Linked DNA regions of Arabidopsis thaliana. The protein of the gene in region 3 purifies or fractionates together with the protein of the main gene of each other region. This does not show direct contact. Each region holds a gene or a part of one and is shown on either strand. Other genes may lie near its edges.

Region 1 (3,754 bases), on a different chromosome or scaffold from region 3:
GAAAGGATTACCATTCCTGGAAGATAGTCGGAGCCATCAAGAGCCCTAGACCACTGCCTATTCTTGTCAAGCTCGTTTACTTGTGCTCTACTAAACCTGTAAATGGATAACACCGAAGCCTTCATAAAAAGGAACTGTAAAATCAAAGAAAATTTGACAAGACATGAAAGAAGAGTAATATGTTCAAGCTATCAAGAATAAAAATATAAATAGATGGTAGATGATACAGAGAACTAGCAAGAAGAAACTGATTGAGATAATAGTCAAAGCAATTTTGTTGTTGTTAACTACGTGCAAAGGCTCACATGTTCACAAATCAATACACAAAATGCAGTAAGAACTATGAAGTAGTAGTCACAAGATCTAATATACCTTGGGTTTAAAACATGGCGAATGTCATCCAAAGAAGGGTCATTGATCTCGTAACTATCAGGAAGACAATAAACCTTCTCTGTCAGAAGATTGATGTAAACGTGGTGTCCTGCTTCCAAGCTATGTGTATAAGCATGAGACTTCTGGCTTCTTCCTTGGAAGTACTTCCCACAAACAAGACACGCATACACATTCAGATTTGACAAGGACACAGAGCAAAACCTCTCAAAATCAAAATCCAACACCTGAAATTCAACATACAACATGAGTTTAGATACTCAACACCAAAAACGATTATACAATGAAGACAGCAGAAACATAACCATTGATCAAAGATTACAATCAAGAAATTAATTACCTGACGATTAACGGTATCAAGATAAGGACAATCACGGCGAACTTCAACATGGCGTGAATGCTTTCCCTTACCCTTCGAGACATCATCATCTTCGTCGTCATCGACCTCTTCTTGAGCTTCTCCTTTCACTTTGTTACCATTTCCCTCCCCTTTCGCAACTCCATTACCACGAGCTTGCGATTTCTTCTGCTCGTTCTCCTCTTCCTCATCATCATCATCGTAAGTATTAGCCAACGGCAGAAGAGGATTGTTGAAACCTAGTGGTGGAGGTGGTGAATCAGACCGTTCCATCACTCTCTTCCTCTTCACTTCTCTCTCTTCCTCAGAAACACCATTCTTAACTTCTCTTTCACCTTTCATTCTCAAAATTTTCCTTATGCTACAGCTTGCTTCAAAAACCCTAGAAGTCTAGAACACAAAATCCCAGCGTTTCACAAAGATCCTCAACCAAAGAAGCAATGATTCTTCCAAACAAACGCCCTAGAATTCAAATCAGAAGAGATCTGATAGACCGTTGATTCTATCCATCCTTTTGCCAAATCCTAATAAACCTTTCAGGCGTGATCAATCTGAATAAGAGATCTCCAGCATCAACAACACCAAAGAAGATAATCACACACTGCAAACAAAACAAAAAAGCCACTGTGAGATAAGTAAACATGAGTAAAACTGAAAAGATACTTCCATCAGAAAAAGAATGAAACTTGGACAAACCAACCAGCTGAAATCAATGCAGAATCTAAGATAAAGTACACTCCTTTACAAAGAAAGGATGGATCCTAGCTCAGAACCATAATTCTCAATTTCATTACATAACAAAAAAAGAGTGAAATTTGGACAAACCCATCAGCTAACATCAATGAAAGCAGATAGAGAATCTAACATAAAGTGTTGTGCTTTACTAAAAAAACAAAGAATTCAATCCCAAACCCATAATTGATAATTCAATTCATTACTATCAAAACATGTGAGCCTATAAGGGGGATGAGATCAACCAATAATCGATATTAATCGGTCATACGGTGAGCATAAAACTGACCAGAGGGGACGAGACTCGAGAGTGGAGGGAGACAGAGAAGCGTGCATCCGCCTTCGTAGAGAGAGTTTGGGGTTTTGTGTTTTCGCTATTCACAAGCAGAGTGAGAGACCGTAAATTAAATGGGTAAGTTTTGGGCTGTCTTTTATTTTCCACATTTGGGCTTTAAGTTTTAAGTTTCCACTATGGAAACCAATCAAAGGCTTCTACATGGGCTTTGTTGTCATCAGCTTCTCTGCGGCTTTCATGCTTACTTGTTTACTAGCACAACATTGCATGCACCTATTGCAGAGATGCCTAAGGTTTCCTTGGTGGATAAGAATAGTGGATAGGACATAATAATTATTTTAACAGAAAAGAGCATTTACACTTTGGGGCTCTATGTACACAAACATAAACCCCATACAAGGGGCAAAAAAAAAAAACAGAATTAAGAAAGAAAAACAAAAGCTAATAAGGTAAAAGGCAAAGCCTATTTGGTTTTCTTTTTGAACCAATTTGGCTGTCCTCTCATTCCCTCTCTTCTCTTCTCTTCTCTTCCTTCCTTCAGTCTCGTGAGCCTAACTGTTTAAGCATTTTTATATTTGAATATCGGGCAAAAGAAGCATTACATACATATTGGTTTCAGACAGGAATGACATCAGCGTTTTGATTATCGTCGCAGGTTATGATTAAGCCATCTGCGTAGGTTGGGAAGAGGCAGTGCCACCACCGGCACCCACTGGAGACTGCTTCTGCCGGAGGAACTATCATCAGAACGTTGTCGTGCCTTCTTACCATCCCCATCACGCTCACTGTGCTTCCTTCTTTTATGTATCTGTTGCATCACACACAATCAAATATGATTTTAAATCAGTAACAAAGGGATTCTCTTTGACAGCAAAAGTGAAACCAATGAGCTTTCTTGTGTACTAAAAACGATCATTTGTACTAGAAACGGTGACTTTTGGGTCTCATTAGCTTTAGACTTAATTCAAACTTCTAAGCCCTTTAACTTCAGACTTATCATGCACTGATGTGAGATGTTTAAGCCGTTAACGTTGACAATAGTTGCTGGATTTCTTCCTACAATACATGTCTCATCACATCTTTTTCCATTACTGTGACTTTTAATGTGGAAGAATAACCAACGGTACCAGTCAAAGTAAACGCCTACATCAACAGTTTAATACTTCCCATTCTACTAAAGAAATCAGGGTTTAAAAGGTTGTAATTTGGGTAAAATAAGGATCCAAGGTTTGGATAGTGACTCTAATAACGTTATTTTTAGATTTTGGCTAAGATACTTCGTGCAACCCGAAGAACAGTTTAAGATGCGTGTTGAATATAACATACCCTTCTTTGAGACGCATAACACGGTCATCAGCTGAGAGGTTGCGATCTGACAGCCACTTTAAGAAGCTGGGAGATAAATCTTTGTTCTGCGTTGTTACATTAGCCACTGTCGCCGGTTTGACAAAAGGAGAAACTTTTGATCCATATCCTGCTTTTACTAGTGCTCGCAATCCAGATTGGAAATCCGAGATGTAAAAATCCGACACATATTTCTGCCAAAGAAATATAACCACAACAAGAATCATCAAACTTCACCATCTTTTCTTGTCATATAAGATCTGAAAACTTTGACCAAATCACTGAGACAAATGGTCCTTTTGCAAGAGGAGAAAAAGAAACTAACCTCTGCATGTCTAGATCCCCAAGAAAAGCATCGATGTTTTGGGTTTGCGGATTTCCCACCAAAACCTTTGTATTCATACAACTCCGTGGATACATAAACGCATCTTGGTGTTCTTTGGAACGAAGATTCCAAAGGAATGCTTCCACATGTCACAACCTACAAAAACATAACAAAAGTTTTAACATTTCCAGCAAATAAAAGACACACCAGTGACCACACTACCATATCTACATCAACATTGTTAATTCAGACAATATAAATGGTCTGTCCAACGCATTAAGCTAGCTGTTGACGACTGTAATCCAATCGA
Region 2 (3,754 bases), on a different chromosome or scaffold from region 3:
GCTTCACTGCCTCTGGATACTTTTGTTCTTTAAAGAATCCATTACCTGCATCAATGAAGAAGTGTCAAATGCTTAATCCTAAAATCAAATCACGTTTCAAGATAGTAAGTGTAACTGAGGATCAGTATATATACCTTTCTCTCGCTCCTCCTCGGCTATCGTAGGATCAAAGTACTCCTGTTGCTCCAGCTCTTTCTTGACTTTCTCAGCATCGTTCAGTTTCTTCAATGTATCTGGATTACGATGCTCTGTAAGAGCTTTCTGGAAAGTCTCAATCGCAGGCTCAAAGTCTTTCGAGCATCTCGCCATTTTCACTAGAGCAGATCCTTTTCTAGTCAGAGCTCTTGCTATCATCTTGAAGTCAGAACGAAGTTCTCTGCCTCTTTCAACAGCCTTGTCACAGTCTTCAATGCACTCCTCGTACTGATAATTTCATTTGAGAAATGAAGTAAAACATCACACAAGATACAGTAAGATCCAGATGAACCAACTGTTAATTAAACAAGACTAATGCAAGAACACATAGACCAATGGAATTGAACCACTCAGGATACTTGAAGATTAATTGATTCCAGTAATAATAAAGATAACCACTTCTACAGAACAAGTGAATAAACTCCATCATGAAGCCATAAACCCTAAATTTCTACCTCATCTAAAGCTAACTACTTTCAGCACAAGTGAAAACTTAAGTTCAAAACTCTTAAATCTCCAACAAGAAGCAGATGAAAGTTATCAAAACCCATCAAGGTCATCACAAATGTACTAACTAGTGACAAGCTATACTAAACAGATAAGCTACTTCAAGAACCCAAGATCTCCTCCTTAATCTTAAAGTACCTAAAGGTTTAACTTTTAAGCCAAGTATAAGACTTAATACCTTCCCCATCTCAAGATAAACAGCAGCACGATTCGTCAAATACGAAATATCCTCATCATCGAGCTCCATGGCCTTAGTATAATGTTCAACAGCTCTCCCAAAATCCTTCTTCTTATAAGCAACATTTCCTTCCCCTTTCTCCTTCAAAGCCTTCTCCTTTCTCTCCTTCTTCTGCCTCTCCTCCTCCGTCAACTCCATAGGTTCCATCTCCGGTTCAGGCTCTTTCCTCTCATCAGCCTCCTTCATCTCAGTATCTTCACCACTAGATCCACCAAACTTCACATTCAACAAAACCCCTAAAGCCTTCATAACTCTCTTATCCTTCATATACAAATTAAGATTATTAGGGTTCCTCTGAATCTCCTTCATCGTCTTAACAAAATCATCCTGCTCCAAATAAACCCTAGTCCCCGGATCCGCCGTCAACTTCTCCCACATCTCCTTCCCTTGAAACGCATCAACAAAAGGATTCGACTTTGACGAAACCCTAGATCTCGAAGCATCAGCTAATCCCGATTTAAGCATCTCATTACTCGGATCAATCTCTAATCCTTTCTTATACGAATCAACCGCTTCATCAAACTTGGACAATCCAATAAACGCAGCACCTAATCGGCTATATCCTTTAGACCAATCAGGTTTAAGCTCTATAGTCTTCTTCGCGTCTGATAAAGCTTCTTCGTAACGGTGGAGAGAAGCGTAAGAAGCGGATCTGTTTGAGTAGAGGATGTGATTGGTTGGTGAAAGGTTGATTGCTTCTGTGAAATGGGTTATTGCGGTGGCGTAATCGCCGGAAGAGAAAGCTGCGTTTCCTTTGGATTTTGCTTCTTCCGCCATTGAATTGGATTTGGTTTAGGTATCGTGAGAATCTGCTTGATTGCATTTTTAAAAACAGAGGAAGATGAAGAAGAAGGCACAAGAGAGTTCTCGAAATTTCGAATTTTTTTGTGTATGTCGAGAATGTTCTTTTGTAGCCGTGGAAAAATGTTTTTAAATCTTAAAAATACAAAAGGAAAAGAAACGCTAGAGAAAGGGGTCGAACCTCTGACCTTGTGGTTAACAGCCACACGCTCTAACCAACTGAGCTACTCCAGCTTTTTGATAAGTGATTCGTTATTTATGTAAATATACCGTCTAGAAAAGAATAAACATCCGTTTATGTTCTGTGCTTACTTTTTTATGCTATGTCTTTGTCTTCTGTCAGAAGATTAAGCGTCAGAAAGACATCGTGGAGTTAGCAACGAGACGATCAAAATTCTTCAATCCGAAGTAGTAGTAAACCAGAGGTGAGAAGACGACCAGTTTGGGAGAGAAAACCAAATCGGAGGTATGTATGGTGATTAAAGTTTTGGTTATGATAAATAATATCATCATAAGCGAATAGTTTTGTACGTTTTTGGTTTAGGTTTTAATCAAATGTGTCTTTACTTTTAATAAGTTTAGGTTTGATATTTGGTTTTTTTGTTTTTTTCTAAACATACCACATATAATCATATATATTAATACTCAAAGAACAAGTAGTACATGGTTTCTCCAAATACTTGTAACCAACCAAAGTGGTAAACTACAATCTAAAAAGCAAAATACAAATCACATGAAGATGCAAATTTAGCAAGTGCATCTCCTCTGCACATTTGTTCTCACCTCATCTTCTAAATTTTAACATATTTGATCACTTTCCTACAATATGATTTGAATTTGTATTCAAATTTGGGAAATTTTGAAAATTACCACCTTTATGATACCATTTTTCAAAAAGACCAGAAAAAGGTTGTTCAAAAATTCTAGTTTCATATCATTTCTTAAGAAAAATCTTCTAAGCACTATAAAACATTAAAAATTTTGTGAAAAATCTTATAAATGTTTGATATTATGCATTATAGAAACTTTATAAACGTTTTTATAATATGCTCTATAAAAGTTAATAAAACAAATTCTATGATTGCATTTTGTGTTACATTGAAAATTAACAAAAAAAAAAAACAGTGGTATTATTAAAAAAAAATAAAAATCATAAAAGTGGTATCTCAAAAATTCTTCTGAAATATATTTAGATAGAAGTAATTTCATAATTAACATTATATGGAAATTCTAAATATTGATTGTTTCACTTCAATTGGGGTTTATAGTGGATGATAGGTTTCAGATACAGCAATACACCATCACTCACTGTATTTGATATATTGAAATATAAGTATTCAAAAATACTGATAGCCCAATTTCAGTTTTTTCTGTTTTTTTTTTTTAATTTCAGTTTTTATGTGTGTAATTTTATAAGTTAGAACATAATTTCAGTTTTGTTCTAACTTATAAAATTACACACATAAATCTAAACCATATAGTATTATAGGATGTCAATGTGGTCTATCATCCATGAAATAAACTGATACAAATAATTATCTTGTATTTATGAATCGGTATTTATCGTATAACATAGATGGTAAAAAAAACTAATATTCACAAATTAAAGGAAATCATCCTTCTCTGTACTGTATAAGTGTATATAAATTTTTTTAATCCTCTTTTGATTTTTGACTATTTTATAAATTCAAATTATATAATCTTGTAAGAATTTTTCCTGCGGCAATGATCCCATGCAGCGATCCTCAACTGGACTTTTTCAAAATCCGAAACCCGACAAGGAATAGTGATCCGACCCGGTTGATCAAACCCATGAACCCGCTCCGCTTGCTCCAACAATTCTCCAAACAATGGATGATTAAAGTAAATCACCGGCACCACAACTCGCCGCGTGTCATCGTCTGATTCGCCGACATGAACCACCAAATGTCCTCGAGGAACAACCCGGTTCGACTTTTTCGGATCCTTACCCAACCGGATCTGATTCTGACCCGGATTCTTCTTGCTTCCACC
Region 3 (3,754 bases):
TTTAATACTAATTTCAAAGTTTCCCCAAATCTCGTTCTGACGTGCATTAGTTATGTTTTGACTCTTCGTTTTCCTCTCCAAAAGTTGCGACTTCCGCGCTTCCCAATAAAGATGCAGAGCTTGGTTGGAACTTGAAAGAACTTTGTGGTGACATTAATAATGCAGAGCTTGGTTGGAACTTGAAAGAACTTTGTGGTGACATTAAAAGGGTCGTATTGTCTCTTCGTTTTCTTCTCCAAAGGTGCGACTTTTGTTATTCCCTTTACGCCTATATAATGGCGGACGCATCTCCCAAGTTTTAAACATATATCCCATTCTCTCCTTACCTTTGAGAGATGTCGACATCCACTGTAGAAACTGGATATGGTGGTCGCATCAGAGTGACAGTGGCTAGAAATGACAGAGACATTACCAGTGAAGTGAGAACATTTCTGTGTAATAAAGAAAACGCGAACAAAATCATCGGTCTGGATACAGAACGATCGGTTGTAGGAGGCGATAGCGAATACCCACCGGAGAGCAAGCTCGTGATTCTCGAGCTCAGTGATGGCCAGAATTGCCTAATAATCCCGCTTCCTTATGTACAAGGTAATAAGCTGCCCGTTTCTCTCACCAATTTCCTCAATCTTCCAGATTTCACCTTTACAGGTGTTGGTATAAACAAGGCTTTGAAAATGCTCAAGAGCGAGTGTGGTTTGACCTGCAAGAATGCCGTTGATATCGGACCTTCGTCGTGGGCCTCTCTCAGCTAGATTCGTGGCGAGATCAAACTTCATTTCAGTCATTGGGTCTCGTTTTGGAAACCAACAAGCCCTATCTATGAAGATTGGGACAATGACAGTCTTACCGAGGATCAGATCAATCTTGCAGCAGCGAATGCTTACTTGGCTTTCAAAGTTGGGAATTTGATTAGAGAAGCTATGTATTGAGTCATGCCTCTGTTTGTTTTTTTGTTTGTTTCGGTCTCTCCTATGTTTTGTCTTGTTTTGCTCGTCAATTGCCTGCAGTTCAATGGACGATTTTGTCACCATCTTAAATCATTTTGGCCCCAAGGTCTAATATTTGGTAAGGTATGCCCGTATGGGATTGTTACTTGTTAGAAACTTCATCACTTTGCAACACGCGACATTCGTAAATCGCAACCCCCATTACTTTACCCGGCTACCAAAGGGTTGAATCTTCTCACCAAAATAATTTAGTCCATAAAAGGTACAAATATTCGGCTTGTCATCTCGTTAATTATTGGGCTGGGCCTGAAATTTTAAAACCTATTACAAATCTATTATTAGCCCACAAACCTGGAACAGTTGGGCTCTTTTAAAAATTTAAAATTATGGGTACTGGAATCCAACGGCAGAGACAATGGATAAGCCTACAATCGTTATTAGACCTTTTTAGTCTGTCTGATTGTGTACAGAAGATTTGTTTCAGTTTAGGCATTATTGCATTTTGAAGACTTGATGGAATGGTTTATGTGTTGCCATGAAGAACTTATTCAGGAAGATAAAATCTAACGTTATGACATTACTAATATTTGCCTCATGAATCTTAAAGGTCAAGACAGCTGTACTACATGCATTTAACTTTCGACTCTTCGGTTTCCTCTCCAAATGATGTGGCTTTTGAAATCTAACGTTATGACATTACTAATATTTGCCTCATGAATCTTAAAGGTCAAGACAGCTGTACTACATGCATTTAACTTTCGACTCTTCGGTTTCCTCTCCAAATGATGTGGCTTTTGAAATTCCCTTTTACCTATAAAGATGCAAGTATATCTTGAGCACTTGGATTCATCATGTACCCTCATTATTCCAGTAAAATATGAATTCGAAGTGTTAAGACGATAATTTCAGTATATTCAGATATTGGGCCGGCCTGACAACTTTATACTTATTACAAAAGCCTATATTAGCCAACATAACTAACACTTGGCTCCTTTTCCAAATATTTTGAGGGGGCTAAAGTATATATTGTTTAGATTTGGGGTCAAATTGAAAATTATAATTAAACTTAAGCCGCCTCTCTCTTCTTCTAACTCACGCAGCCGAACCCTAGCTTTCATAAAATTTTCATTCATCATCGTTCTTGCTTCTTGCTAAAGGCCTTGCCTTGTGCTTCCTCGTCCTATCTCTCTTACCTCCGTAATTTGTTCGTAAGAGAAGTATCGTGATGGGTACTGAGAGAAAGAGGAAAATTAGTCTGTTCGATGTTATGGACGATCCGTCTGCTCCGGCGAAGAACGCCAAAACCAGTGGTCTTCCCGACGGCGGAATCAACAGTCTGATCAATAAATGGAACGGGAAGCCTTATTCACAGAGATATTATGACATTCTGGAGAAACGGAGGACTCTACCTGTCTGGCTGCAGAAAGAGGAGTTTCTCAAAACGTTGAACAACAATCAAACCCTAATTCTGGTTGGTGAAACCGGTAGTGGTAAAACTACTCAGGTAAAGTTTTCATCTTTTCCATTCAGATATTTGGAATTTGATATGTAGGCTTGGGAATGATTGTATATGGAGGAGAGTTTCTTTTGTCTAGAGAATGAAAGGCTAATGCTGAATTTTGTTTATTTGTACAGATTCCACAGTTTGTGATAGATGCTGTGGATGCTGAAACATCGGATAAGCGTAGGAAGTGGTTGGTTGGATGCACACAGCCTCGTAGAGTTGCTGCCATGTCTGTGTCCCGTCGTGTTGCTGAAGAGATGGATGTAACTATTGGGGAAGAAGTTGGTTACAGCATCCGTTTCGAGGACTGCAGTAGCCCCAGAACGGTTCTTAAGTAAGCATTGTCTCTTCTTTTAGCTTCTCATCTTTATAATTGATGTATTTGTGGACTTGTATCTAATCATGTGTTACTCACTATGACCAGGTACTTGACTGATGGTATGCTCCTGAGAGAAGCAATGGCGGACCCTCTTCTAGAGAGATACAAAGTCATTATTCTTGATGAGGCCCACGAAAGGACTCTAGCCACAGATGTGCTGTTTGGTCTTCTGAAAGAAGTGTTGAAAAATAGACCTGATCTTAAGTTAGTTGTGATGAGTGCAACTCTAGAAGCTGAAAAGTTTCAGGATTATTTTAGCGGTGCTCCTCTGATGAAAGTTCCTGGTAGGCTTCATCCAGTTGAGATCTTTTACACTCAGGAGCCTGAGAGGGACTATCTTGAGGCTGCTATTAGAACTGTTGTCCAGATTCACATGTGTGAGCCACCTGGCGATATTCTTGTTTTCTTAACTGGGGAGGAGGAGATTGAAGATGCATGCCGCAAAATCAATAAAGAGGTTGGTAATCTTGGGGATCAAGTGGGGCCTATTAAAGTAGTGCCACTGTATTCTACTCTTCCACCTGCGATGCAGCAGAAGATATTTGATCCTGCTCCAGAGCCTGTAACAGAAGGTGGTCCTCCTGGGAGAAAGATTGTTGTCTCCACTAACATTGCTGAGACTTCTCTCACCATAGATGGGATTGTCTACGTCATTGACCCTGGTTTTGCTAAGCAAAAAGTCTATAACCCTCGAATCCGTGTTGAGTCTTTGTTGGTGTCCCCAATTTCAAAGGCAAGTGCTCACCAGAGATCTGGTCGTGCCGGTAGAACACGGCCTGGAAAATGCTTCAGGCTTTACACAGAGAAGAGTTTTAATAATGACTTGCAGCCGCAGACGTATCCTGAAATATTGAGATCAAACCTTGCAAATACAGTTCTGACCTTGAAAAAACTGGGTATTGATGACTTGGTGCACTTTGATTT

The links.
Region 1: the proteins of AT3G62310 (region 3) and AT4G22285 fractionate together in Arabidopsis thaliana (co-fractionation; one large-scale study listed by BioGRID). This does not show direct contact.
Region 2: the proteins of AT3G62310 (region 3) and Hop3 fractionate together in Arabidopsis thaliana (co-fractionation; one large-scale study listed by BioGRID). This does not show direct contact.

The regions. Positions count from the first base shown.
Region 1 is NC_003075.7:11,780,809-11,784,562, forward strand, and holds the start of AT4G22285 (Ubiquitin C-terminal hydrolases superfamily protein), read right to left. Parts: upstream 1,888-3,754; 5' UTR 1,770-1,887; intron 1,350-1,769; 5' UTR 1,091-1,349; coding exon 731-1,090; intron 618-730; coding exon 373-617; intron 97-372; coding exon 12-96; intron 1-11. Other genes in the region: AT4G22290 (Ubiquitin-specific protease family C19-related protein), read right to left, coding at 2,391-2,583, 3,102-3,313, 3,445-3,600.
Region 2 is NC_003075.7:7,339,523-7,343,276, forward strand, and holds the start of Hop3 (stress-inducible protein), read right to left. Parts: upstream 1,840-3,754; 5' UTR 1,718-1,839; coding exon 881-1,717; intron 424-880; coding exon 135-423; intron 46-134; coding exon 1-45. Other genes in the region: AT4G12410 (SAUR-like auxin-responsive protein family), read right to left, coding at 3,434-3,754. UniProt on the Arabidopsis thaliana protein: Mediates the association of the molecular chaperones HSP70 and HSP90. Mediates nuclear encoded chloroplast preproteins binding to HSP90 prior to chloroplastic sorting. Involved in acclimation to heat.
Region 3 is NC_003074.8:23,058,980-23,062,733, reverse strand, and holds the start of AT3G62310 (RNA helicase family protein), read left to right. Parts: upstream 1-2,002; 5' UTR 2,003-2,172; coding exon 2,173-2,451; intron 2,452-2,582; coding exon 2,583-2,785; intron 2,786-2,875; coding exon 2,876-3,754. Other genes in the region: AT3G62320 (Polynucleotidyl transferase, ribonuclease H-like superfamily protein), read left to right, coding at 336-733, 812-929. UniProt on the Arabidopsis thaliana protein: May be involved in pre-mRNA splicing.